Elephas maximus indicus: one gene and its partners. Each later gene encodes a partner of the first gene's protein in a complex. Links are inferred from orthologs where the notes say so. Each region holds a gene or a part of one and is shown on either strand. Other genes may lie near its edges.

The links. The genes of interacting proteins can lie anywhere in the genome.
Region 2: LIN54 (region 1) and LIN52 share a complex: the UniProt entries of both Homo sapiens proteins name them as parts of the DREAM complex. The link is inferred for Elephas maximus indicus from reciprocal best matches to the Homo sapiens genes LIN54 and LIN52.
Region 3: LIN54 (region 1) and RBL1 share a complex: the UniProt entries of both Homo sapiens proteins name them as parts of the DREAM complex. The link is inferred for Elephas maximus indicus from reciprocal best matches to the Homo sapiens genes LIN54 and RBL1.
Region 4: LIN54 (region 1) and TFDP2 share a complex: the UniProt entries of both Homo sapiens proteins name them as parts of the DREAM complex. The link is inferred for Elephas maximus indicus from reciprocal best matches to the Homo sapiens genes LIN54 and TFDP2.

The regions. Positions count from the first base shown.
Region 1 is NC_064823.1:73,313,190-73,320,038, forward strand, and holds the start of LIN54 (protein lin-54 homolog), read left to right. Parts: upstream 1-3,824; 5' UTR 3,825-3,908; intron 3,909-5,927; exon of another isoform or gene 5,928-6,247; intron 6,248-6,849. UniProt on the Homo sapiens protein: Component of the DREAM complex, a multiprotein complex that can both act as a transcription activator or repressor depending on the context. In G0 phase, the complex binds to more than 800 promoters and is required for repression of E2F target genes.
Region 2 is NC_064828.1:86,789,202-86,796,246, forward strand, and holds the start of LIN52 (protein lin-52 homolog), read left to right. Parts: upstream 1-4,024; 5' UTR 4,025-4,119; coding exon 4,120-4,150; intron 4,151-7,045. Other genes in the region: ALDH6A1 (methylmalonate-semialdehyde dehydrogenase [acylating], mitochondrial), read right to left, coding at 1,965-1,993, 3,185-3,344, 3,531-3,578.
Region 3 is NC_064843.1:32,489,388-32,496,773, reverse strand, and holds the start of RBL1 (retinoblastoma-like protein 1), read right to left. Parts: upstream 3,022-7,386; 5' UTR 2,782-3,021; coding exon 2,626-2,781; intron 1-2,625. UniProt on the Homo sapiens protein: Key regulator of entry into cell division. Directly involved in heterochromatin formation by maintaining overall chromatin structure and, in particular, that of constitutive heterochromatin by stabilizing histone methylation.
Region 4 is NC_064841.1:17,687,976-17,695,314, reverse strand, and holds the start of TFDP2 (transcription factor Dp-2), read right to left. Parts: upstream 3,022-7,339; 5' UTR 2,309-3,021; coding exon 2,224-2,308; intron 1,921-2,223; exon of another isoform or gene 1,778-1,920; intron 1-1,777. UniProt on the Homo sapiens protein: Can stimulate E2F-dependent transcription.

The DNA of each region.
Region 1 (6,849 bases):
GAATAGCCTTATGTAATATTGGCCCAGGTTTTCCTGCCCAATGAGTTTGCCATAGCTTCCAAAACCCTTTCAGTTTTCAAAACATTTTGGATTTTAAAATTTTTGATAAGAGATTATAGGTCTGTTGTAAAAAGAGATAAATAATGATGAAAAAGAAATAAAGATGAAAATTACTCTTTTATAGATGTACACAAGTTGTTTGCTTGCATAAAGACATACTGGACTTCTAACAACATGGACTAATAAACATATGAACTTTGTGAATACTCTTTTGGAAACTAGCCTGTTTTTAAGAAAGTTTTATTCACTAGTGTACTTGGTGGAGTCCCTGGGTGGTGCAAACAGTTAGTGGACTCAGTTGCTAACCAAAAGGTTAGAGGTTTGAGTCCAGCTAGAGTTGTCCCAGGAGAAAGACCTGGCGATCTCTTTCTGAAAAGTCAGCCATTGAAAGCCCTAGGGAGTACAATTCTATGCTGACACACGTGGGATCACCATGAGTCAAAATCAACTCAACTGCAACTGGTATTGGCATACTTTGTACCTGGCAGTCTACCTGGTGGAAACCCTGGTGGCGTACGCTGCTAACCAAAGGGTTGGCAGTTCAAGTCTGCCAGGCGCTCCTTGGAAACTCTATGGGACAGTTCTACTCTGCCCTATAGGGTCGCTATGAGTCAGAATCGACTCGATGCCGCTGGGTTTGGTGTTTTTTTTTTTTTGTCTACCTGTTTTATTATAGGACTTAAAAATAAATTTTACTTTTATTTTTTGATAGTTTTCACCACTTCACATCTCCATACTACAATCTTTTTATTATTCTTTTTGTATCGATATTATCTTCAGAAACCGCTTGTATTTATTTATTTAAATATTTCAGTTTTTTTTTCAACTTGTTTATAGTTTGCCACTTCCTCTAGAACTGTGTTGTCCAATATGGTAGTCATTAGGTACACATGGTTATTTAACTTAAAATTAGTTTACGTAAAAATAATTAATAACGTAGTTCCTCAGTTGCATTAGCCACATTTCAAGTGCTTGATAGCTACATGTATCCAGTGGTGGCTGTATCAGATAGTGTAGATGTAGAACATTTCCACCATTACAGAAAGTTCCACTGGACAGAGCTGTACTGTCTCGTTTACTGTGTTCCTAGTCTCTAGCACACTGCCTGGGATTCAACAATCAAGAAATGTTTGCTAAATAAATGTTCTTAGACAATTTGAAAAAGCCATCCATGTAAATATACAGCTAAGTGTCTCTTTTGAAATACAGATTTTTTTTTTTGTCTAAGCAAAATGTTTAGTTTTATTAATTGGGGAGATTGAGTAACCACTTTGTTGCAAGATCAAAAATATGGAAAAAAAAAAAAATCCCTGACTCCAAAATTGCAACCATATTACACTCTACATTCCCTTGCTGTATTAACCACTCTCTCCTAAAGTATGTGATGCCATTTTGTACTTCTTCTTTTTTTTTTTTTTCTTTTGCAATATAGATGTTTGAATAGCAGTGACTCTTAGGAGCTAAAATGCTTTCTTTGATAAAGTAGAAGATTATATTTTAGACTGTATTGTAGTTTTGATTAATAGCTTTCAGTCAGTGAATGCTTACTATATGCCAGGCACTATTCTAAGTTTTTTACACATATTACCTCATAAATCTTCACAACAACCTAATGATATATGTATTATTCCCAATTTAGAGAGGAAAAAACTTAAACAAGAGGAAAGTAACTTGCCTAACTTCACAGAGCTATTAAGTGACAGGGACAGGATTTGGCCCTGTTACAGATTGAATTCAGTCTTCCCCAAAATGTGTATCAACTTGGTTAGGCCATGATTTCCAGTATTGTGTGGTTGTCCACCATTTTGTGACCTGATGTGATTTTGCTATGTGTTGTAAATCCCAGTTTCTTCTTGTGGTTAATGAGGAAAGATTAGCATGTGTTAAAGAGGATTAGGGTAGGATAGGACACCCTTACTCAGGTCACATTCCTGATATGACCTAAGGAGACCTTCCCTGGGGTGTGGCCTGTATCACCTTTTATCTTACAAGAGATAAAAGGAAAGAGAAGCAAGCAGAGAGAGGGATCTCATACCACTAAGAAAGAAGCAGTAGGAGCGGGGTGTATCTTTTGGACCCAGGGTCCCTGCTCTGAGAAGCTCCTAGGCCAGGGGAAGACTGATGACAGGGACCTTCCCCCAGAACCAACAGAGAAAGAAAGCCCTTCCCTGGAGCTGGCACCCTCAATTAGGACTTCTAGCCTAGACTGTGAGAGAGTAAATTTCTCTTTGTTAAAGCCATCCACTTGTGGTATTTCTGTTATAGCAGCACTAGGTAACTAAGACAGGGCCCAATTGGTCTAGCACCCAAGGCCATGAACTTAAAATAACACTGAGCTCTTTGTGATTACTTTTAATGTGGATCATTTATCTCTTTTTTTTTTCAGTATTTATACCTCTTATTTTTCTTATTTAATTGCATTTAGCAAGGACACCCTGAAAAATGTTTAATAATGTCTGTGATCATGAAGCTTTTCTCACTAGCTTTGAAGGTTCCTCATAAACTGAGCTTACCTTACTGTTGATTCCCAACCACGCCTGTGTATCATTCAACTTTCTTACATTTCTTGCACTTGCCACAGATCTTCCCACTTCCAGGCCTTTGCTAAGTTCATGCCACTGGTCTTGCTAAATCCTAAAAATTGAGTTTGGGATGGGTGGTATAGGGTGGTGGTGACTGTGGTAGAAAAGGAATTAACATCTGACACAGGACTGTGTAGCTGTTTGACATACCTCAGAATACCCTCAGAATCCTGGGAAGTTTTGTTATTTATATTTTATGGCTGGGAAAAGAAACTTGATGAACATGATACACTAAAAAGTTGAGGCGCCAGAATTTAAACCAAGATTGCTTGATGCCAAAGTGATTGCTGCTTCCACTACGTGTCTCACCTCCTCCATTGTGTTCCCTGTCTACTGCCTGTCACTTTGCCCTGTGCGTACTACATGCCCCAGGAGTAGTTATATAGACTGTACCACAACATTTAACATTTCATTACACTCTCGTGTTTTCTACTGTTTCATCTGTGTGCTTCTTGTCTCACACCGAGCAGTTATTAACTGAATAATCGCTCAGTCCCTGTTTGATTATCAGACTCCAAATTTGGGTATTTTTTCTTTTATAATAAGGGGTACCGAGAAAAATAAAAGGGAAAGGTGAATGAATACGAAGAATTTTGATCGTGTTAATCTTAGCCATATACTGCAAAAAAGCAAAAAGTTCCTTTCGAAATAACTTTAAGTCTGTGTAGTGTCTCTGCGGCTTTTTATCGATCTCTGAAAAATTAGTACTGAAAAAACGACGAGATTTGGCATTTGTAAATATTGATCCTCCCCATTCTCCCCCAAGCACATCAAAAAGTGGCAAGATGCTGGAAATCGCACCTACATCACGGACTTCCTTACAAGGAAAGCTAGAAAAAGAGGGAGTCTCTTCCAACAGCTGGCACAAACCCTGACCTTCCCCTCCCAACCGCAGCCTGATGGAACATTCCATGCGAAAGATTTGACAGAGAAACCACTTGGAGTCACGTGGAGTTGGAGCGTACTCACGGCGCCTTGCGGAATGACGCGACCTTGGGTTGCCAAGGGGCGGGGCCAGGCTTCGCGGAAGGGGCGGGGCGAAGGAAGCCGACCGGGAAGGCGGGGCGGACGAAGTGGAGGGGCGGGCGAAGAGGGGCGCGCGGGCGGGGAGGGCCCAGCGTATTATGGGATGCGGCGGTGGAATGGCGCTGGGCGCGTGATTTTGAACAAACCCGGGTCTGTGTCTCGGAGGCGCCGCCGCCGCCGCGGCTACTGGGAGCCCAGGGAGCGCGGCGCGAGGAGGAGGCGGCGGCGCCGCCGGCTTTGGTGAGCGTCAGCCCCCGAGATGGGGGCTTTTGAGCCGGAGGGCGGGAAGGGAGCGCCGGCCCCGGCTGCGGGAAACGGCGGGGGCGAAGGGCGCCGGACCGCCCCCTCTGAGAGCCCGGGCGGGGAGCGGGAACTTGCCGGCTGTGGGCCGCGGCGCCCCATCCCTGCGGAAGGGTCCTCGGGTCTCAGCCCCTTTCCGCCGGCGCCCAGGAGGGCGGCTGTCACCCGGCAGGGCCGGCACTCAACCGGCCGGCTACCGTTCCCGGCAGCCTGGAGGAAGGGCTCCGGTGGCTGTTGACACAGCGCGGCTAGAGAAGCCGGCCGTGTCGGCCCCGGGTTTCTGGGAACCAGTTTTGCTGCTGTGTCATTTTGTACCGGCCCCTCCTTTCTCTGCTGCCCGCCACCCCATTCTTCCTATGCTCCTTTGTATGCCACCTTCTTCCTGTGTGTCCGTTTTCCTCGCGAAGCCCACCAGCCAAATGTCATAATGTTCCCGAGGTGCATGGGGGAAGGGAGCAGACTGGGACTCAGCTTGGCCAGGCAACGGTAAACAACCAAGCGGAGTGCGGGTGGCCCGGACAGCCGGTGGGGCCATAAAGTTTAAAGATAAAGAAACTAGGGAGACTTTACACTCTCAGCGTCTAGCAGGCTGCGTATTAAAAACGGCGATTGGGCTGGGTTGGTGGACAGCACTTGTTGAAGCTGGAATCTACCGACTTTTATACGGAGTTGCCATGCAAGCAAGGTAGGGAAATGAAATGATTTATTCAACATCTACCTCACTTTTCTTAAACGAACTTTTAAAAAAGGTAGTAGAGTGGCCTAATTTTCAACCCTAAATTTCAATTTACTCGTTTCAGATAGGTCTTCTAGATCTTAGGTTGTAGTTGAATGGTATGAATTTCAGCCTTTGAATGGATGATTACCAAATTTTTCCTGAAATTGACGAAGGTGGTCAGTTTAGTTTTCTTTTTTTATGCTCGTTTCATTAGAAGCCCTGTAGCCTATGCTTTCTTGTTACTTCTAAGATGATTAAAAAAATACCTGTCTATGTTCTGTTTTAGTTACTTATGAAACTGCATGATGGGAGGCGCTAGTGGGGGTGGGTGGTAACTCTGGGGTCTTGTTCCAAAGCAAGCTGTTTATTTTCACTGTATTGAACAAATATGTCAGCGGCAGATGGTTTTTTAATTTGGTGACTTGGATCCTAAAAAAGTTTGACAAAGAATTTTAGTTTAGAGCTATATTTTCTATATTTTTAGAAATTGATCATTCATGCATTTATTTCCATAATTGAATCAATACATTTTAAGCTTAGTTGCACTTTGACGTCTTAAACTAATGACAAATCGAAAGTCACGATGTTCCTGGACAGAAATTATCAGATAAAATTAAGTGAAGAGGAAAGTAGTTTGGAGTCTGTTTGTCAGACTGTGTGTTGAAATCTTTATTTAAAAAAAAAAAAAAACTGTTTTGACCACAGTAGTTACATGAGGATCAGTACCTGTAATTTAAAAAGCAGGTATCAGAGAGGTCAAACAGGCATATGGAAATAACTCATTCTGTCAAGGTAGTTCTGACGGTGGAGTAAAATGTCAAGAGTAGGTGAGTGACGTTAAAGGTCTCGATAATGTCTTCAGTGTCTGATACGGACATAGTGAAACGCATTCCATCATCTGTCTCCAGTTGTTTTTCCGAAAATGAAAGAGTTTAGATCCCTTACTGTCTTTATGCCACCCTCCGCATTGCGTTTGCTCTTCAAATAAAAATATGCCTGACTTGGGACCCCGCAGATGGCGGGGCTTCCTTTCGCAGCTCTGCGGGGCTGGCAGGAGCACCATTTTTCGTTCTGGGGTGAAAGGTCTTTGCGTAGGCTGTGTGTACATTTGTGTCTCCCGTGTGCATTTGAAGGTTGGCGGGGCCGGCGGGAGGTTTCCCCGGATATGTGGGTGTGTGCTTTTCGGGAGGGGAGGACCTGGGAGGGGAGGAGGAGGAAGGGGGAGGTGACTGGCGGCGGCGGCGGCGGCCCGGGCTGGGGCTGTCGGGGAAGCTGCTGAGCTGTGATGGTGATGACGAGGTGAAAATGGCGGATCTTTCGAAATACAATCCCGGCCCCTGACATACCAGAGGCGGCGGCTGCGGCGGCGTCGCCACACGGCTCCCTTACCGGTCTCTGGGTACCCTGTAGCGCTCCAGTTTGGGCAAACTGAGAAAGGAAGCGGCTGGCCCGAGCTATCTGGCAGAGGCAAAACAAGCACCGCCCGGGCTCGGAATTGCCCGGGACCTTCTGGAGCCCCCACCTTGGAGCCGGAGGGAGGAGAAAGCGGCAGCCGCTGGAGGTAGAGAAGAAGGGGTACCCGAGGGCCTCTCTGCCTTGAAATCTCTTCTTGGGGGGGGAGGGGACATTTGTGTTGTGGATCAACTAATGACTTGTCTGTAGTGCAAAGAATCAGTAGCCTCATAATGACATCAACAGTATTCTTTGGGTGTTAAGAAGGCTCAAATTTGCTCTTATACCTAAGGCTGCTGCCGAGGCCTAAAGGAACCGCTAGCAAATATCTTGATTTCTTGATTTAATAGTTAACCTATCCACTCTGGTTGGTCAACACCAGATGATGTTTAGCAGTTTATGGAGTTGTACGTTTCTTTAAGGAGGCTGAGCATTGGCATTTTATTCTGCATTTTAGATCTGTGTGTTAGGTCATAGTCTATAACTTGTTGGGGTATGGACGGTCACATTTAAGCATATGGACCAGACCAGTTTTCTAACAATTAAAAATGTTGTCTTTTTTATTTTTTTAATGGCTCTTTCTCCCATAGAGTGACCCGCTTTGCCCCTGCTATTTGGCAAGTAACAATTGAGATACTGTCAGTCATATTTCATACCCGTGTTTTTCAGAGAAATTCTTTCCTAGCCCCATCCATTTCATGAAGTCAGAGA
Region 2 (7,045 bases), on another chromosome or scaffold:
GACATCTTCAGAATACATCCCCCTTTGTCTAGCCCTCCTCTCATCACCCCAGCCTATCCTATCACTATCTCTCACCTGGGACATCCTAACAGGACTCCCAGCCTCCAATCTTAAACCGTCTGAATCTAGCCAGAGGGGCTTGCTAAAACAGAAATCTGATCAGATCAGTTCCCTGTTTAAAACCCTGCAATGGCCTCCCACTACGTTTAGGATAAAGACTAATCTCCTCAATATCGCTTATAAGACCCTGTCTTTACTTCTCCAGTTTGACAGTTTGCCACTCTCCTCCTTGCTCTCTATGCTGCAGCCATTCTGAACATGCTTTGTGCTCTCATTGCTTCTGCACATGCTGTTCCCTCTGCCTGGGATTATTTCATTCCCACTGGCTTGGCTTACTCCTATTCCTTTAGGTTCCCATTTAGCCATCAGTTTCTCCAGGAAGTGTCACCCTCAGGTCTGAGCTAAGTACCTAACTGTGGAGTTCACAAAACACCCTGAATTCCTCTATTGCTCATACCACTACACGGTTGTGTCCTCAGCCCTTGGCACAGTTCCTGGAATACAGTAAGTACTCATTAATATTTTGTGAGGTAAAGGGGTGAGTCCTCATCAAGCCACCTTTTGATATTAATTTTGCTTCACTCTCTTATAAGGTAGAAAATACAGTCATGTGTCACCTTAACGGCCACGATAAATTCTGTGAAATGGAATGTTACGTGATTTGGACGTTGTGCGAACACCATAATACAAGCAGTCCCTGAGTTACAAATGTCTGACTTATGGACAACTCATACTTAAGAATGGACTGCCATAAAGGCTGTTATATTAAAAATTCAAGTTAAATATAATGGTTCATAATAATGAACGCATGCACTACTTTGTGATGCTCATGAAAACATTATATGGTTTGGAAGTGTTTAAGTATTTTATATGCATAACCCATTGCTGTCAAGTCTATTCTGACTCATAGTGACCCTATAAGACAGAGTACAACTGCCTCATAGGGTTTCCTCAGAATGACTGGTGGATTCCAACAGCCAACTGAACTGCCGACCTTTTGGTTAGCAGTTGAATGCTTAACCACTATAGGGCTCCTTTATATGTAAACCAAACCAAAACCAAACCCGTTGTGGTCGAGTTGATTCCAACTTATAGTGACCCTATAGGACAGGGTAGAACTGCCCCATATGGTTTCCAAGGAGTGGCTGGTGGATTCGAACTGCCGACCTTTTGGTTAGCAGCCATAGCTCTTAACCATTACCCCACCAGCGTTTCCTTCATATGTAGAGAAGGGTAACACATATACTGTTTACTAAGACAAACATTTGACTTACTGATGCTAAATAAAAACCGTATGTACCTGTTTCGACTTACCTACAAACTCAGCTTGGGAACTGGCTGTATATAACTCTATTACAACCAGTGGGGCCATGGATGTGTATGTGGTTGGACGGTGCCCAAATGGACATTATGCAGTGCATGACTGTACAACGATCAGCCAACTTGAGCAGTCTACATTTAGTTTTATTTTTTTTTCTTACACACAACCTCTGCACTGTCAAGAGGGCATAAAAGGCACTGTATCTGGTATACTAGAACATAATCACAGAGTTTTTGATGGGTTAGATTGCCTATCTTTTCTTCATTTCCCAAGAAACACTCTTCATTATCATTGTTGCTGAAGAAAATATCCTATGCCCAGATGCATCAAACTTTTTGCTCTCTAGATGTTTATTTCATACTTGCTATTTCCTTTATCAGGAACTCCTGTTTCTCCTTGGCTAATGGTCTGCTAGTCTTATAAGACTCAGCCCTAGAGCCAACCCCTTTTGAAAACTTTTCCAGAATTTGGTCCAGGGTGAGTGTGGGGCATTCTCTCTATGTTCCTATAGCACTCTTAGCACCCCTATTTTTCGCACTTATTGCATTACAATAGGGGAGCTTTCAGTGAATATTTTACTTACCTCTCCTTTCCCAAAGCCTGAGACAGTACCTGATACAGAAAGAGACACCAAGATTTAAGTCCTGAATTCTCAGCTCTATTAATAACAAGTCAGGTGACCTTGAGTGATCATAAGTGTCAGGAAATTTACTTAGTATATTTATTAATTCTAATCCTTAGTTACCTGCAAAGTGGTAGAGCTGGGATAGTATGACTATACTCCTCAGTATGACTGTGAAGCTGTGTTCTTTCCACCATATCACTAAGGCAAGTCATTGAGTCTCTTTAAGACTGGTTTTGTTACCTCTGAGTGGGAGTGATAATATCCCAAGGAGCAAAGGTTCTAGGTAAATTTTACCAGCCACCTTAACAAAGAAGATAAACTGAATACTTAAAATAACTGAAAACATGTACTCTCTCCTTGATCCTTTTAATAAAAAAAAAAAAGTTTTTTTTTTAATAGTCCCCTAATATTCATGGCTCCCAGAATCTAGACTATCCTCTATCCAAGTTTCCTGATACTGCAACTCCTAGTTGCAAAGGATTACTATTTCTGTTCTTTTCTTTTCCAGGTCATTTCAGAAGTTTCTTCAAATGAATCGAAAAGTAATGTCTGTTTCTGAAATAAAGTACGTGGGTAGGGAGAATCTTCTTGATGCAAAGTACAAAATACCTACTTGAAGCTCTCAGTGACTCATTGTGATGGAGAGGGGGCAAAGCAAAAAAGCCAATTTCAGGAAAAGATTTCAAGGAGGAGTTGGTAGTGGAAAATATAAGGTGGGAAATTTGTTTCTCTACTACTAAACAAGGACACTCCAAAAAAAATAAAAACAAAACAAAACACCAAACCCATTGCCATCAAGTTGATTCGAACTCATAGCAACACCATAGGACACAGTAGAACTGCCCCGTAGGGTGTCCAAGGAGCGGCTGGTGGATTCAAACTGCCTACCTTTTAGTTAGCAGCTGAGCTTTTAACCACTGCACCACCAGGGCTCCAAAAAAAAAAAATTAGGAAAAAAAATCACAGCAAGAAATATATGAGCGGAGCCAGACCACCAGATAAACCCCTGCAACCCACTTTTCCATGGTGTCACGTTAAAGAGCACATTTAAACATGAACCTTTGCTGACTCTGTCAAGAATCTTCAAAATGCAATCGTTTCTGCAGTAGAATTCACTGAAACCTGGGGCAAGGGTCACAGAATGAACTTTCAATCTCCTAGAAGTGTACACTACGTACCTGGTGGGTGCACCGAAAGAGATGAGAACAAGAGTGAAGGCAGGGAGGGGCGGGGCCAGAGAAGCGGAGGCTCCGCTGTAAAGCGGCGAGGCCGGGGGTGATAGCCCAGGGGTGACGGCCCAGGGGGTGATGGGCCAGGGGTGTTGGCCCAGGGCTGGATCTGGGACAAGGGAGAGTACAAAGTGAGGGGTGGGGAGGACAGGGCCGTACGGGTCGGGTGTGAACTCCAGGGTCAGTCAAGAGGGGTCTCGGCCAGGAAAACGGTCCCACCCGAGGTTGGCTTAGAGCGTGCGCGGAAAGGATCCAATTCCTAGCTTCGCGATCCCTCGGCGGCACCCTCACTCGCCTGCAGGATCCGGGCCCGCACTGCTGCCGCTGCTACCACCGCCGCCATGGCTCCTCGCCGCCTCTTCGCCACTACTGCCTCAGAGGTCCCCAGCAGCGCCGCCGCTGCCAGGACCCGCCCCTCCATCCTGCCGGACCTCTTCATTTGCAGAGAAGACCATTCCCCTTAGCCAATCAGTCGCCCTCATTCCCAGCTGGGGATGTGTGATTGGCAGAAGTGGAAGAGCTCTTGCCCCCTCCCACCTCAGCAAATTCTATTGGCGGATGTAGGGAAGACGCCCCCGTGACTTGGGCGCTCTAAAAGGAGACGCCCCCTAATCCGGAACTCCGATTGGCCACAGGCATGACCACGGGCCGCCCCCTCCCCTCACTGAGGAAGGTAAATAAGATCTTCCAAGAACTTTGTAGTCGCCCCTCCTCAACAACAGCGTTAGGGGGTGTGGCTAGCACCGAGGGGGCGGGGCTAGGCAAAGATCGCCCTACGCGGCGGCGAAACAAGACCCGGCCGCGAGTTGGGGATAGGGTTCCCCGTTCGGGGCGGGGCTTGGGGACTCCTGCTTTCCCGCCGACGGTTGGCCACGTCACGTGACATGGGTTGGAAGATGGCGTCTCCCACAGACGGTAAGAGCCGGCTTAGAGTCTCCGCCTGCCACCTACCTCTTTCATTGCTCCTGAGAATTTCCACTGTCCGTCTGCCCTTAGAATTTACACTTCTTTCTTGGGCCCCTCTCTTTTACTTTACTACTTCTTTTCCTTGGGATGCGTCCCTTTCGTCAGCTCGCCGGTTCTTCACCGAGGCTCCGGAGGTGCCAGTTTCCCCGCAGAAGGGCGGGGTCGCTCCGGCTCTCCATTAGCTCTATGCGGGTGAGGCTGAGGGCCGAGGAGAGGTACCTTTTACTGTAGTTTTCTCGGGGCACCCCATTGAAGGGTCGGTTCTCTTCTCATTGAGCATCCCGAGCGAGTCTCTGAAGCCCTAGGTGGGGTTGGTAGCTGACCTCATCCCGGGACTGAGTCGCAAAAGAGAAACGTGATTCTCTCCCGTTCCCTCAGATTGGGACAGTTGCTCCGGTGGCAAGAAAAGCCGGGGACCTTCTTGGCCCCTCGCCATTAAAGTCCTGAGGAGAATGCGAATTGAGCTATTTGGTGTGGTTTTGCACACGTCGCAGCCTCTCTTCATCTGTAGGTATTATTGGTTCCTCACGCCGAGTAAATGAACAGTTGTTTCTGTTTATGTGTTGTCTAAGATGCAGGTCATCTCAGGTAGCAGTTTTGTGGTTTTTTCATACCCACATGCTTTTGCGTTGGTTCTGCTTAAGAGAGTTAGGGTCTTGCAGTGATTTGTTGTTGTTGTTGAAAATATACGCAACAACACGTATACCAATTCAGCAATTTCAACATGGGCAGTTCAGTGACACCGATTACATTCTTCAAATTGTGCAGCCGTTCTCATCCTCCTTTTCTGAATTGTCCCTCCTACACTTACGTAAATTCACGTTCTTGCAGAGATTTTTAACTCACTTCATTTTTGCTTTTACCGCCGATTTCACTGAGATGTAGTTTTTCCCTCTCTCACAAACACATTGTGTTTGGAAGGAATCTTGGAAGTTCATGATATTAAGAATGAGAAAATTGAGGCCAGGAGAGAAAGTATGTCGGGTATCTACAATATGAAAGGCACAATGTTAGATTCTTTGGGAGACAAAAAAGATGAACGAAACATGTAAACACTTTTTCAGTTTCAGGTGTCATCGTAGATGTCCCTTCTCAGAGAGGTTTTCCTAGACCGCAGTATGTGGAGTTGCCCCTCTCCACCATTATTCAGCACCTCAGTATACTTCATCCTTCATTGTCAACATAGTTACTCTGTTAATTTTCCTCTTTCTCGCTGAATTATAAATGACAACTCAGTTTTATTCACAGTGGTATCCCAGGGTTTTTAGCACAGTGCTTGGCAGTCGGTAAGCCTTCAATTGATACTTATTGAATGATTATATGTATGCATAAATAATACATTACCTGGTGGAAAATCGTATGTTTTTGAGCACAGGTACCTATTGTATAAGAAATTATGGGTCAGAAGAGAATCTCCTGCCTGGATGCTCTCTTGCTAAAATGTCTTTCTTCTCCCAGAAAAGAGAGGCATTTAAAAAGTCAGCTAAGCGATAGAAGTAGAAATAATTGCTATTAAAATTTTTAGTTTATTACTACCTTGTTTTTATACGTTTTTGAGATTTCAGAGCTGTGTCCCTTTTTTGATAATTCCCTGTCTTAATTTTTTTCTTTCTTAGGCCAGGAAGAGTATTTGAAATTTTTTTTTCCCCCTTTGGTCATCCAACCATCTCTGTGGTTACTTGATTTTTACAAGTTTCCATTCTGATTTCTTACAGAATTCCACCTTTTTCAGCCCTTTTCTTTTTAATCTGACAACATCAAGTTGAACACTTTGAATTTAAATTCTGCTTCTAAATAAGCATTGCGTCAAAAAAAATCCAACTGCCTACAGCTCTCTCATTTCTATTTTTAGTGTTCCACCTGTCTCTGTCTTTAAATTTTAATTCAGATAATGCTGATTTGAAAATAAGTATGTACTGTTTAATCTTTCATCTTTTTAAGTTATACATTTGCTGAGTCTTTGAAAAGAAGAAAGTTGAAATCCAAATAAAGCCATTTAATTACTTATTATGAAAGTAAGAGTCACAGCAGAGTCTGAATAATGCCACAGACTGTAGTGTCATAAAACCACCTTTGATTATTGTGGAACCCACCGCCAATAAGTTTATTTTATTGTGGTTGAGCTTCCCATTAATAATGTTTTTGGGAATTTGAAAGTTTGCATTTTGTGTTACAGCTTTTTTTTTTTAAACCATTTCTGGATGCTTTAGTTAAGGCAATTCATTACATTTGAGCTCTTTACCAATTACAATACCATCAGAAATTCCCCGAAAATATTTGGTTTAGAGAAAAGTACATGTTTAAAAATATTATATATGTGTGTGTATGTATTTGTACATACATTTGTTGTTGTTGTTAGGTGCCATCCAGCCGGTTCCTACTCATAGTGACGCTATATACAGTAGAACAAAACACTACACAGTCCTGTGCCATCCTCACAGTCACTGCCATCTTTGAGGCCACTGTTGCAGCTCCTGTGTCAGTCTGTCTCATTGAGGGTCTTCCTCTTTTTTTTACTGACCCTCAACTTTACCAAGCCTGATGTCCTTCTCCAGGGATTGGTCCCTCCTGATAACATGTCCAAAGTATGTGAGATGATGTCTCCATCCTCGCTTCTAAGAAGCATTCTGGCTGTACTTCCTCTGAGACAGACTTGTTTATTTTTCCAGCAATCAATGGTATACTCAGTATTTGTCACCAACACTGTAATTCAAATGCATCAATTCTTTGGTCTTTCTTATTCATTCCCCAGCTTTCACATGCATATATTAGGTGTTGTTGAGTCAGTTCAGACCCTGTGTACAGCAGAACGAAACACTGCCTGGTCATGCGCCATCCTCGCAA
Region 3 (7,386 bases), on another chromosome or scaffold:
ATGTATTAAAATATATCTGTAAAAAAAATTTTTTTTTAATATCTGTAAGCTTATATTAATGTTTAAAAGGCCCAAAGAGAAATAAAGATCCAATTTATAAAGATACTGATAATAAAAGGCAATAATGGCAACAATAACAAAAAAAGGTATTCCACTTAAGTCAGAGCCAACTTAGAATGGAGTGGTAGAAACAGAACAGTAAGTTGGGGACTACCTATATTTATTTTACTCAGAGTCCACACTAGACTAGGCATCAGGTAAACACATTTAATCATACCACCAACCAAATGTGTTAAGTACTATTATCCTCATCTGACAGAGGAGGAGATTGGGGTTGAGAGGTAAGCACTGTTTGCATACTAGCTTTGATCAAGCTACTGTACAATGCAATGCTACAAAGTGAGCAACCCTCTCCTCCAACCTAGTGAGGCAGAAGGTAGAGAGGTTAACCCTTTCAAGACCCAATTACTTTCTCCTTTGAATTTTTTGTTGATACTATGTGCTTTCACTGATGAAGGCATGCTGATTAAAGGATCAATTCAGAATTTTTGTTATGAGTTATGAATTTTGATACCCATTATCTGGGATCCCAGTATCCCAGCTGCCCCTGGAAGACACTAATTCTACCACTATGAGTCAATAATAAAATCTTTTTTTTTTTTAATTTCTTGAAAATTTGCAAAACATGAGGTAAAACATGAAAGCACATGGTAATGACTGCACACACATTTTATTCTAGTCTCACTTTTCTTAGCCTTTGTCGGGGATTGAATTGTGTCCTCCCAAAATATCTGTCAACTTGGGTAGGTCATGATTCCCAGTATTGTATGATTGTCTACCATTCTGTCATCTGATATGATTTCCCTGTGCTGTAAATGCTATCACTATGATGTAATGAGATGGATTAGCCGCAGTTATATTGATGAGATCTCCAAGATTAGATAGTGTCATAAGCCATTTTCTTTTGAGATATAAAAGAGAAACCAAAGAGACATGGGGACCTCATACCACCAAGAAGGAGCATGAGCAGCAGAGCTTATCCTTTGGACCCAAGGTTCCCACACAGAGAAGCTCCTAGGCCACAGGAAAATTCATGACAAGGACCTTCCTCCAGAGTCAACAAAGAAAGCCTTCCCTTGGAGCTGGCGCCCTGCATTTGGACTTTTAGCCTACTAACTGTGAGAAAATAAATTTCTCTTTGTTAAAGCCATCCGCTTGTGGTATAGCAGCACTAGATGACCAAGACGACCTTTTTATTATTTTTCATGAAATTTTTCAAAACATGAACAATGCATTCTTCCTTACTGCAAAAGCAGTATTTACAGCCCAGATAAATAAAACCAAGGGATTTTTTTTAATCTCAGGAAAATTATCACTACAATGCTTTCTTCCTTATGGCAAAAGCAGTGCTTAGAATAAAAATAAAGGGATTTGAATCTCAGGAAAATTACTGCTAATATGTATGCTTCATTATAACAAACATAGTACGAACAGCTAAGCAGCAGAAACAGCTGCCCTAGAATACAGCAGAACTGCTCACCCTGATGCATTCCATCTGCTACACAGGGAAGCAATTACTGTGCCCTGGAATTGAATACAGGGTGAGAATAACTTATAGGAGTTCCAATCAATCTCTTGAAAAGTACCACTGTCATGTTTTACTCCTTATTGGAAAAGCATTATTTACTGTTCAGAAGCTGGAAAAGAAGGGAACCAGTAACACCTGGAAACAACGAATGGCATAAAGGAGAAAATGGCCACTATGACTAAATGAAGACTGGCAAGAGTTTATTCTCAAGAGAACACAGTAACGGGGAAACACAGTGAAGACGCTTAATTCACAGAAATAAAAGCAAATCTGTCAGAAGTTTTAAAATTTCACACATCTGAAATTATCTACACAAAAATGAGGCTCCCACTCAGGATTTTCGAGTTTCACACATTTCAAAAGGCTCTCACCTTGAGGCTAACACATTAAAATCGGGCTACTCCCTTTCCAAAGAACTCCAGAGGCATAAAAAGTGAGTGGGACACATCATGTCCCACGGGTCTTGGAAGGGTTTTAAAAAGCTGACTCCAATATCTGGCTCCACTAATAGCCCTGTGACGTTGGACACCTCTTTGGCGCTCAGATTTCTCAACTGTGAAATGGGATCAGAGAACGTTTTCAGAGGGTTGTGGAGAGAACTGAGATGGCATATTTAAAGCCCTGAGCAGTATCTTGGAACGCGAATTCACTAAAAAAATTTTTTTTTTTTTTTTTTACCGTATTTGTTTTTACAAATGTACGGGCGGTACCTTTGCGTGTGTGACGCTTGGCGGGCTGGAGGGAGGTCAGGTGTGGAAGCCACGGGTCTAGAAGACCCCTGACTGAAATGTGACCTTGGACAAGCCGCTCCTTTTCTGGGTTTGTTTCCCGCTTCAAAAACTGGGTGGGCTGACTGAGCTACACCCGCCCCTTCAGCTCTGCACTTATTGGCGCCCGGCTGGCAGCGACCCTTCTCGGCGGGGAACTCCCACCACCCCAAAGAGTAGCGGCGGGGCGGGGCGGGGCGGGGGTGGGGCCTGGCCGCTGGCTCACTGCGCCGAGGGTCCGGTCCGGCCGCCCCACCTGCGGCCGCTCACCTCTAGGCTGTAGTTGCCCCGGATGGCGGTGAAGTCGTCCAGGGCTTTGGCCGCGCTCCCCTCGTCCAGGTTCAGCTCTTGGCATAGGGCCTGAAGTGCTTCCCCGGCCGCGGCGACCACCGCCGCCCCCTCCGCGTGGGCCTCGTCCTCGAACATCCCCTCAGGCCCTGCGGGTGGCGCGGTCGCAGCCCCCCGACTCCAACCTCCTTCCCGGGCGCGCTACCCACAACCACCCGCGCCAAAGCGCGCGAAAATCAGCGACACTTTAGCGACGCCTTCTCCATCGTCTCCCTCCGCTTTTCTCTTCAAAAAAGTCCATTTCCTCTCCTGAGCTCCCAGCCACCTTCTCTAGAAATGGGATAACAAAACGGATCTTGGGTCCTGGAAAAATTGTACTTGGCCCTTGAAGGGCAGCGGTGGGCCAGCCAGGGCGGCAAATAGAGAGCGGGGGGGGGGGGGGTCTGCAGCCAGCGCGCGAAGCCTACTGGGAGTTGTAGTCCGCATCCTGCCCTGAAGCTGGCGGCACCGCTCTTACCGGTTTGGGAGGGGTTGGGGTGACATTTATTTAGCGAGAAGCGTCCTCTGCCCCGCCAGTCTTATCAGCCCTGTCTCTGTTGGTGTCCAGAGGCGCCAAACAGCCCATCTTTGACTGAGCTTAGGCACTTGAATTGCGAGATGGAGGCAGTGCCTCCTGGGATGTCTCCAGTGTTGGATGAATGTGCTCTAGACTATCACAGGGCTGGTGAGGCAAGTATATTAAGGGGTATCTCCCCATTCATCATTAAGGAGTCCCTTTTTCAGCTCTCTAGACTTTGGGAACTTTCTCAATAAAGACAGCCATTTCAGGCTTAGGAATACTCTTCAGGTCTTAGAGCTTATCCTTCTGTTCCAACAAAACTTCAGGAAAAGCCAGAGTGATCTTTTTAAAAGGTAAATCAGAGCATGGCACTCCTTTGATTAATATCATTCTGCGAATACCTTTGCTTAAGATAATACCCAAGCTCCTTTCCGTGGCCCACAAGGCCCTATGTAACCTGGCCCGCCTCATCTAGTGCCTTGTACTTCCAGCTTCACTTTGTTTTGGACTCTGGAAAATGCCAAGCTAGTTCTTGCCTCAAAAGGTCTTTCTCATATGCTGACCAAACTGCCTGTCAGCTTTTTGCTTACCTGGCTCCTCTTCACTTCAGTTCAATTAAGTGTCACTTTCTCAGTCCATCCCTGAGCTCTGTGTCTAAAGTAGCTGACTTTCCTTCCTCCCCATACCCTGTTTCATTATCTTCATAGCACCTTATCACTATCTGAAATGATCTTACTTGTTTATTGACCAGCTCTTCCTACTGAAATCTGAGCTGCATGAGAGCAAAAACTTTTATGTTTATCACTGTCGATCCAATATTTAGATTAGTGGTAGGCACTCAGTATTGAAAAAATTACAAAGAGCCCAGTGTTGAGTGGATGAGGGAAAGGAGTCACTGGATCTCATATGCATCACTAAAAGCCTGGACATTACCCTCAAGGCAGTGCAGGTTTTAATGCAGGGAGGTGATGATCAATCTATATTTTGGACAGGTCCCTCTGGCTACCCCATGAATTGGTTGGGGTAGAGACTGGTGGCAGGGAGTCTTCTGGGGAGTGATGCAAAAGTCCAGGCAGGAGATAGTAAGGGGCTGGTTCAGCACAGGAAGGAGCCAGCCTGAGGAGGGGTCTCTAGCCTAGAACTGGAGGAGCCACTGCTGGAGAAGGAAGAGTCCCAATAACACAGGTTTCCATCCAGGCCAAGGGGGTGAAAGTGATACTGTTAATTGGGATGGAAGTGTAAGCAGATGGATGAGATGAGTTCTGGAGTTGTTGAGTCTGGGATGCTTGCGAGAAGTTTAAGCAAGGCCATTGGGTTCCAGAAGGTGTCCCCCTCTCTCTTGGCAGTTTCTCAGTGTTCTACATTCTGCACACATGGAGAGGGATGAGACTTGGGAATCAGCTGCAAACTAGGTCCCAAATTAGCAAAAACTCAAACACCACCCCCCCAAAACTCAAACTCATTCTGAACCACTTGTGTGGTACCTCCAACTCTACTTCTAGGAACTACTAATGCAGCTGACTTCAGGATCACCTCATTATTCTCTGGAAGGAATGTTGGCACACAGTGTGTGCAAGAAGGGTCTCCTCCCATGAATTTGTACCTACTCAGGGTAAGGAGCACTGGTGGTTCAGTGCTTAAGCGCTCAGCTGCTACTCCCCAGTGGCTTCTCTAGGAGAAAAGACCTGTTAGTCTACTCCCATAAATATTTCAGCCTAGGAAATCCTATGGGGCAGTTCTACTCTGTCATACAGGGTTGCTATGAGTCAGAATCAACGGTACATGGCAATAAAAGATTGGTTATGGGCAGTTGGTGTCTATCTCCAGCACCACTGAGTCTGTAGCAGGGGTTATCCCTCTTGCTAACTCCCTTCCTTGGAGTGAATATAGTCAGCAAAGAAATGTCAGGAACAGTGGAGGTGAGATGAAGTTTCTCTTGTAGCAGCTCATTTGTTTTATAATTTATTGCTCTTATATAAGAGAACTTCCAGCTCAGCAGAGAGCTTGGGGAGTGGGGACAGCCTGGACATGAGGACTGGGAATTTTCAGGCTGGACCTAAAGATAAGGGAGCAGGTTGATATCACTCAGGAAGAGAGCTGGCAAGAGAAGAGACCCAAGGATAGAATAGGAACAACAACATTTAAAGGGATGGATGGGCAGAATTTGAGGAGTAAGTGAAAAAGAGATTGGGCCAGAGGGGCATAAAAGCAATAAGTGGTATCTCAAAGGTCAGAAAAGTAGTACTCCATAGTCCAGTGCCACTGAGAACTTCTATAGAGTGAAGAATTCAAAGAAGACTTCATATTATCATTCGTATGCTTCTGGTGACCTTTGCTATAGTAGTTTTCCTTAGCATGGTGGAAGTGGAAGCCAGATTACTGTGGTTGAGGGTCTACTGGGAAGAAGGTCAGAATGTTGAGGTAGGAAGTAGAAACTCTGTAACAAGTTTGGTAGAAGAGAAGCAAAGGAAGGGTATTTTCTAGGATAAGGGAAACTCAGGCATGTGAATAATCAGGGGTAGGACCAGGCTGAGAGAGACTGAAGATAATCAATGTAGCAGGACCCTAGAGAAGGTAGCCAAGCCTGGCTTTCCTCTTCATAGCTCCGGTTTAGAAGGTCATCACTTTACACCTACACTAAGCAGGTCTTGCTAGATGTTCTACTGAGGGGAAAATAGAGGAACACGCAAAAGGGAGTTGAGAGTGGCTTGGAACAATGAGAAAACTCCCTGGGTTTGTCAAATATAAACATCATGGTCAGGATTTTTTGAGGAAAAATGGAGTATAAGTAAGTCTACCTCATGGGGATACTGGCTTTCATAGGTGGTCCTGGACAAGATTACAAGAGATGAGACTCCTCAAGTTCTTTGCCTTTGCTACAATTAGTCAATTTTTGTATCCAGATCTGAACTGCAGAGGGTCATACTGGCCTTGAAAACAAACCAAGATAAGAGGAGACCAGCTGCTCTCAGGAGTTAGAGAGCAGTTGGTCTCCTCTTATCTTGGTTTGTTGTCAAGGCCAGTATCCCCAAACAAAGAAAAGTAGGTACTCATTGCACCATTTTTCATCTTTTCAGTAGTTTAGTTTTCAGTGAATTGCAGGCTATGTACTATAGCCCTTCTCTTCTTCTCTACTGAATTTGATTCTCCTGATCCGTTTCCCACTTCATGCATTCACTAAGGCCTGAAAACTCTTCATTTTTCCATTCCGTAAATGTTTACTGAATTCTTGTGTACAGATGGCGGTGTCAGACCTTGTCTAACTCTAGAGGGAGAGATGACAATCAGCATCAGCCCAAAGATGATTCCCATGAGGTGGAGGTCAGACATACATACCTTCACCACTCTCCAACCTTTTTACCAATCCAAACACCAGCCATCCCTCCATGGCACTCCCTACTTCTCTGCTAGTTTCGATAATTCATTGCAGTGGCCACAAAGAACTCACAGACCATACTCACGAGTATGGGGTTTATTAGTGAAGTAACAGGTTACAATTCAGGATCAAGATCAACTTGGAAATACCAGAAACAACTCAGGATATAATTTTTTTGATCAGGACAGCATCTTCTCAGCCATGCCTGCAAGCAGGCCTCTGCTGCTGTGCCCTGCATGGGCCTGGCCTCTGCTCCGCTGGGGCAAATGTTACAGCTCTTTAGCTCCATTGACATGTGCCCAGAGGCACCCCCACTCCATCAGCAAGCTTCCTGCCTGCAGGTGCTCAGCTCTTTTGTTCTGTTGATGAGGCCACTGCAGACACCTCGCACTGTGGGCTGAGATGCTCACTGCAGCCATCTTGCACCAGTGTCTGGGTTCTCATGCCATTTCCAGTGTTATGGCTGTCACTGTCTCCTGGGTCTAGGAAGTTCTTTGTGCAAGGACCCTGGGTCCAAAGGAGGCGTTCTGCTCCTAGCTTTTCTTCTTCGTAGGATTAGCTCCTTTAAATCTAGCGGCATGGCAAAACTGACTAATCCCCTTGGTGGGCCACAGACACCTTATTTGCATAGTCCCAGCCAATCCCAGGAAGAGTTATACACACTATTTTATAGTGTGTGGGAGTTGCAATTATTTTGTGGGAGTTACAAAGCCATGGCTAGAAGGGCCATATAATAGCAATTTGTTGCACTGCAGCCTGCTATGTGCAAGATACTGATTCTTTCTTTGTCATGACTTTCAGATTTCCC
Region 4 (7,339 bases), on another chromosome or scaffold:
GCCTGCAAATTCTCCCATCCTTCTCTTTGCAGCAGATAATCACTCTCCCCTTTTTCCATTAGCAAGGACCCTAAGCTTACTTATCTTTTGAGAGGCAAAACAGCAAGACAGCATTTCAATTAAACCCAAAATATTTCTTTCACATTTCTTATTCAAAGATCTTCTGGAATAAGTTTCATGCTTCTCATAGAAGATGAAATGACTTACCAATATACACAACTGATGTTTCACATTTTCAAATTCATTTTGAGCCTTCCTAACTATCACGAGATTACAAACTTTTACATTCTCTGAGTAGTCCCTAGATATTTTATAATGACTTAACTTTTGAAAAATACTCTCAATAACCTGATGCTCAATTTTTTTTTCCTTAAGTTAAATGGTCTAAAATAAAATATCCCACTTTTGCATTAATTACACACAATTTTTGAAGATGGGGGAAACAAAGTTTCTGCAATGGGTTGGTTATTCCAAATATGTTACTCTAATACTGATGTTCAAATCCTGAGTATAAAAAAAGAAATTTTAAAAGACTAAGCTTTGTTGATTCACTGATTAAGTCAGATTTATGACCTCCCCTCCCCATTCCAGCTACTGTGTTTTGAATGAAACAACCTCAATTGTAACAGAAGAAACATCTGTTGCTCTTTCTTCATCAGGGCTTTCCTGCCTGAAAGGAAGGCTCTCCCCCTGATCTCCCCCTTCCACTCCCCCCCCCCCACACCAAGTTCCTTAAAACTTGTTCTAAAGTAAATGTATTAAAATTATTTCAGATTGTGCTGGATCTATACAATGTCACCGTTGATCTAGAAAGATTCACTTTTTTAATTAAAGCGCATAGAATGGCTAAGTTCCATACACATCAAAAAACAAGAAAGGTGACCGATGTTCCATTGTCACTAAAATGCAGACTTGAAAAGTGTATACTTGAAGTGATCAACTCAATCAAGTTGTCACACATTCCCGGCTCACTCAGAACTGCTTAGAGTTTTTTCTTTACGGGATCCAGATGCATATAGAATCTTGCATGCTATATTTTCTTTGCCAGCCCAAAGCTAACATAATGGCAGTCACTGCCCCGAGAGGCAGACACCAAATGGTGCCACCCACACCCTCACACTGCCTCATAATAAACCATAAAGCAGTGGAATGCACCAGTCCCTTTATGAGCAAACAATGCCTGAGCTTCATTAGAATACAGCTGACATTTTCAAAGCACAAATAGTTTTAAGAAAAATGTTCTAGGTGGAAAAAAAAAAAGGCATGAAACAGCTATAAAATCTGAAATATTTTTCAAGTGTCAGGTTTATCCCTCAAGATCCCGAGGAAGCCTATTTGGCTGTTGACAATTTAAATTCTCCATAAAAAAAAAAAAAAATGTATAGTTAAGGGTAAAGTTTATTAACTGCTAGAAAGAAATGGAAGTAAAAATCATTTGAATTGCTTTCAGAAGTTAAAAATCACAAAGTACCTTTCAAATTATTCCCGTCCTCAAATGTTTCTGTAGCTCTTGAATGAAAAACACTGAACTCTAGAATTATTTTCACATTTTAATGAATTTAGGTAAGTAACTGAGTGATAAACTAACTCTACCCCTCCCCCCCAGCCCACCCCAACCCCCATGCCCTGTAGTTTCCCTGTCTGCAACAAGCAAGGACGTCTTGATTTCAGCGTGCTCTTAGCTATTTACCCATTTACCATTGCTGCTGTTTAAAGAACAGAAAGCAAACGCTGTAAAAACTCACCCAGCACTAAGAAACAAAATGCTCTCTCTTACCTGGTCTAAGGAAGCATGCCTCTCACTGCAGTACCAACAACACTCTACAGTCTTTGTTACCATTCAGTGGAAACTTGAGACTGTGTCAGACATAAGCAATCGAGCTCAGAAAAGATCCATTTAAAATACTCCTCAGTAAAAAGAAAAAAGATGCTCAAGAAAACTAGCTATTGGCTTTTAAAAGACCTCTAAATACTGCCTAACGTAACAAAGAGACTTCAAAAGAAACTGGAAACACAGGTCCTAAGAGACCGAAAGGGGCTTTTTTAAGGAGCCTTTCTATGTTGGACCTTGCTTTCTTACTAAAGTTCTTTTTTTTTTATTATGTTTAAAATAAAAGGGGTGAGATGGTGAAATGCCTAACTCCAAGCTAACGCTTCTCTAAAAAAATCACTTGAATTTAATCACTTGAATTTTAGCTGGCTAAAAAGTAAGATTAAACTTACTCGTGAAAGCTGAAAAATTCGAATTACACATTTCAGGGTATTTGCTGGCTCTGAAGCAGTCACGCAGCAGCAGATCTGAATGCATCTTGAAAGCAGAGCAAAAGCACCGAGAGTTACACGAATAAAAATGGGAAGAAACTCTTGAAAAGTTGGTCAAAGCTTTTTGAACCTGAAATAACTGTCCGGCTCTTCTGAGAGGGAGAGAGAGAGGAAAAAAAAAAAAAACCTGGTCCTGCCCCCTGAGATAGGAGGCTACGCTTCAATGCCAAAATGAATGACAGGCCCATTTCTGATATCAACAAAGAGCAGCTTAGTCGTGTGTGTGTGTGTGTCTGTGTCTGTGTCTGTGTGTGTCCGTGTCCATGTCTGTGTCTGTGTGTGTCTCTGTGTGTGTTTACTTTCTCACACAGTTAAAGGTTCTAAAATTTTCAGATTACTACCCTGCGCAGCGGTTAAGAGCTCAGCTGCTAACCAAAGGTCAGCAGTTCCAATCCACTAGCTGCTGCTCGGAAACCCTATAGGGCAGTTCTGTTCGGTCCTATAGGGTCACTGTGAGTCGGAATCAACTCGCCAGCAACGTTTTTTTTTCCCCCCTTTATTTATGTACGCTAAGTACCTTTTTCCATTTTCTCAAGAGAGCCCCAGTTAATGTCCCAGTTTTAAAAATGATTAATTAAAAATATGTACTTAATCATCTCAGTTTTTCTAGCCAGGAAGTGGAACCAAAGCTGACTTCTTCTGTTCCTTCCCAAATCTATTCTTTATAAAATCAGATAATCAAAAGACTAATTATCAATATCAGTAAGCTTTCCCTGCATCCTGGTCGTGGGCACAAGGAGAAACAAGAAGTAGGGAACAAACATTAAAAGGTAACCGAGATCATAAAATTTTTAACTAGCTAGATGTAAAAATAATGCCTATAATCATACAAATTCAAAACGATAAACACTTGGATCAATGGCATATATTTACTGAATGCCTTTTATGAGTCAAGCACTGTTTTGGGCTCTAGGGATATAGCAGTGAACACAACAGACAAAAGCCAAACAAAAACCCCTGACTTCAGTGGGCTTATTACCTTACGTCTCAGCTCCCTCTATGAACAGCGTTTCTAGTGAGTAAGGTACCTTTCCTTTTTTGATGAGTTACCACCTAATTGGAAAATGCAGCCCTGGAGGCTCAGTGGTTAAGAGCTCGGCTGCTAACCAAAAGGCTGCAGTTCGAATCCACCAGCTGTTCCTTTGAAACCCTATGGGGCAGTGCTACTCTGTCCTATAGGGTTGCTATGAGTCAGAATCAACTAGACAGCAATGGGTTTGGTTTAAATTTGAAAACAGCTTTCGGGGGCAAGGATTTTGAGCTTTGCTCAGTACTGTATATTCAATGTCTAAAACAGGACTGTTAGCTAAATAAATACACATTGAATGAAACAGATCAAAGAGAGCTTTTTCTTAATTAAACTTTTCTTTTGTAAATAGACTATGTACCGCTTTTTACACTTAGATGCATACAGAGATATAGCAACAATGATATAGTTTAGGGTCTAAATTAAAGTGGGCTATAAACATATTAAGGAGCCCTGGTGGCACAAACAGTTAAGTGGCTGCTAATCGAAAGGTTGACAGTTCAAACCCACCCAGCAGCTCCACGGGAGAAAGACCTGGAGATCTCCTTCCGCAAAGATTATAGTCAAAAAAAACCCTATGGGGCAGTTCTACTGTATTATAGTAAAAAAAAAAAAAACCTCTATGAGACAGTTGCTGAGTCGAAATCAGCTTGATAGCACCTAACAACAATAACAAATATATACTAGTTTAAACAAAATTAAAAATACCACCTATATGGCCCTGTACCTTTTCTGATTCTAAAATCCTTTTCCACTATCAGGCGTGAGATCACTGTAATATTTAAAGGAAAATTGGTTAAACTTCTACAAACTAAGTTTTTGTGAGCAGTCAAATTTTGGAAGACTTTTGAATAAAAAAAGAAACTTGGAAATTACACAGAATCCGCTCAATTTTGTGTATTAAAATATTTTATGTTTATATATAATTTTAAACGCCCCATCCTGCTTCTCACCATTCTTGATCTCCTACCAGCAGCCAGGTAGAGAAAAGAACTGCACACCTCTACCTGTCAGATGAGAAATGCTCGCCCATGTCACCCAAGACCAGGATATTCAGGGGCTAGCTATGGTCATGTCTACTTTGCTACTCTGTTAAAACAAAAGGAAATTAAACTTTCAGGTACCCAAGTACACTCACCATACTTTGGAGAGCTGGACAGCGATTACAAGTTCACACATTTAGTATTTGTTCTAACATAACCTTTCACGTAACATTTCAGGAAGAAATGAAATGACTGAGGTCAAGAGTCGTTAAATGGGTGGGGCCAAAGTAGGATTCCACTGTTCCCGTAGGAATAATTTTTCTTCTCTCTAACTACAAGCCAGAGTCCCTGGGTGGTGCAAACAACATGCTCAGGTGCTAACCAAAGGCTAGGAGGTTCAAGTCCACCAGAGGTGCTTTGGAGGCAAGGTCTAGCAATCTAATTCCAAAAAATTAGCCACTGAAAACCCTGTGGAACAACTGCCTCCTTTGCCATGAGACCCAGAACTGGATGGAGCTTGGCTGCCATTACTGAACATTTTGATCAAAGATTCTCTAGAAGAATCCTGATCAAAAGAGGGGAAATGTGGCACAGAATTTAAAATTCTCATGAAATCTAGGCTTTCTGGAGCCATGAAGCCTGGATGAACCCCTGAGATAATCTTTAAACCTTAAACCAAAAATATCCCCTTAAGTCTTTTTAAAACCAAACAATAGTTTAGCTTAAATAGTAAAGAATGCCTGCCTGAGCACTGTCCTCTTTGAAGATCTATCTATATGGGATCAAACTAAAAACAAGAACTTGAAAGATTAGATAGGAAACTTGGGGAGGCAGTGAGTTTGTATTAATGAGGGAGAAACAACTCAGAAAACGAGGGTGAGAACGGTTGTACAACTCAAAGAATAATCAGTGTCACTGAATTGTACATGTAGAAATTGTATGTTCTGCTGTGTATATTCTCAACAACAACAAAAAATAAAATAAATATAAAAAAAGAAAACCCTATAGATCACAGTTCTACACTGATATACACAGGGTCTCCATGAGTCGGAAGAGACTCAACGGCAACTGTTTTTTTAACCACCACTCATTCCTTCCTTCAACAGATACTTACGGAGCACCACTTACGTATCAGGCACTGAGACAGCAAACTGACCTGCTCCCTACTGCCTACTCTATAGATCTGACCCTCAGGCTATCTCTATCCCTCCACCTATTTCCGTTCTCCCTGCTTGCCTTCCTTCCTGATGACCCCTCTCCAGTCCCAAATTCTTCACTCACACTGCTGTTTCCTTGATATAGATCTCTCTGTATACATTTATACACTTTACTGGTTTTGCGTCTCTAGAGAACCCAGCCTAAGACACAACTCTAATTCATGTCATGTCAGATCCCACGTATGTTAGAGCAGAACTATGCTCCACAGGGTTTTCTTTTCTTTCTCTTTTGTTTTTTGCGCTATAGAGTTTTAATGGCTGAATTCTCAGAAGTAGATTGCCAGGCCTTTCTTCTGAGGCACCTCTGGGTGAATTTGAACCTCAGGCTCTCAACCGAGCATGTCAACCATTTGCACCAATAAGGGACTCCACTTTAAGCAACACATTCATTCCAACTATTGATTATCTCGAAAACACCAAACGTGCCTAGGCATTCTTTCCCCTGACTTTATAAGCTGAGTTATTTTGACTGGAGTTTGCTATGTGTTTTAGCAACATGAGCAAATATTAACAAAATATTCCTATAGGCAAAAATGACACTATGATAGCTTAATGAAGTTTTTTTTTTTTTTTTGCCCATAGTTGCTAAATATAACTATCTACCAGACCCATATGACGGAGCAGAAATCAGTGACGTCCTGCCTATACTTGCTAACATTTTCAAGGAAAATGTCTGATCTTCTTGATGAGCGCTATAACTAAGGCAATGAATTCCTATCACCACTTCCATGGATAAGACTTTGTTTCTCAAAAACATCACACAGTAAGTAACTTTGCTTTGCTCACTCCTCTTCTTCATTCTATGCTGTAAATGTAGACATTTTTCAAGGTTCTGTCCTTGATGCTCTTTTCTTCAAGATCTACACTCCCACTTCTATGACTTAACTATCACTTCTGTGTAGATGATTACAAAAAATTAAAGCTCTGGCCTTCTCTGTTCTGCTCTGCTCTAAACTCTTATTTTCAACGGCCTACTGCCCATCTCTACCCAGACATCCCACAATCTCAAATGCAACTTCTACACTATTCAATCCTTGGTCTACCTTCCCAAACCAGCTCATCCTCCTATGCTCTCCACCCTTGTTAAAGACATCATCATACAGAATTGAAAGCAATTTTCTATTCTTGCCTCTATTTCACCATCCAAATGCCCACACTGCTTCCAGTGTTTTTCTAAAACACATGTCATTCCCTTATGTCTTGGTTATTTAGTGCTGCTATAACAGAAAACCACAAGTGGATGGCTTTAACAAAGAGAAATGTATTTCTTCACAGTAAAGTAGGCTAAAAGTTCAAATTCGGGGTGTCGGCTCTAGGAGAAGGCTTTCTTTTTCTGTCAGCCTTCTCATCAGTCTTCCTCCGGACTAGGAGCTTCTCTGAGCAGAGACCCCAGGTTCAAAGGACGCGCTCTGCTTCCAGCACTACTTTCTTGGTGGTATAAGGTCCCGCTGTCTCTCTTCTTGCTTCTCTCTTTTATATCTCAAGAGATTGCCTCAAGACACAATCCAATCTTGTAGATTGAGCCCTGCCTCACTAACACAACTGCCGTCCATCCTCCCTCATTAACATCACAGAAGCGGGATTTACAACGTACAGGAAAATCACACAATACAGGGAATCATGGCCCTGCCAAATTGATACACACATTTTTGAGGCGACACAATTCAATCCATGACACTTTGGTTTAAAAACAAATGAGAAAAGAAATATAACTTCTGATGGCTTCCCAGTGTCTAGAGCTGTGCTATTCAAAATGGCAGACTTAGCCACATGTGGCTATTTAATATGAT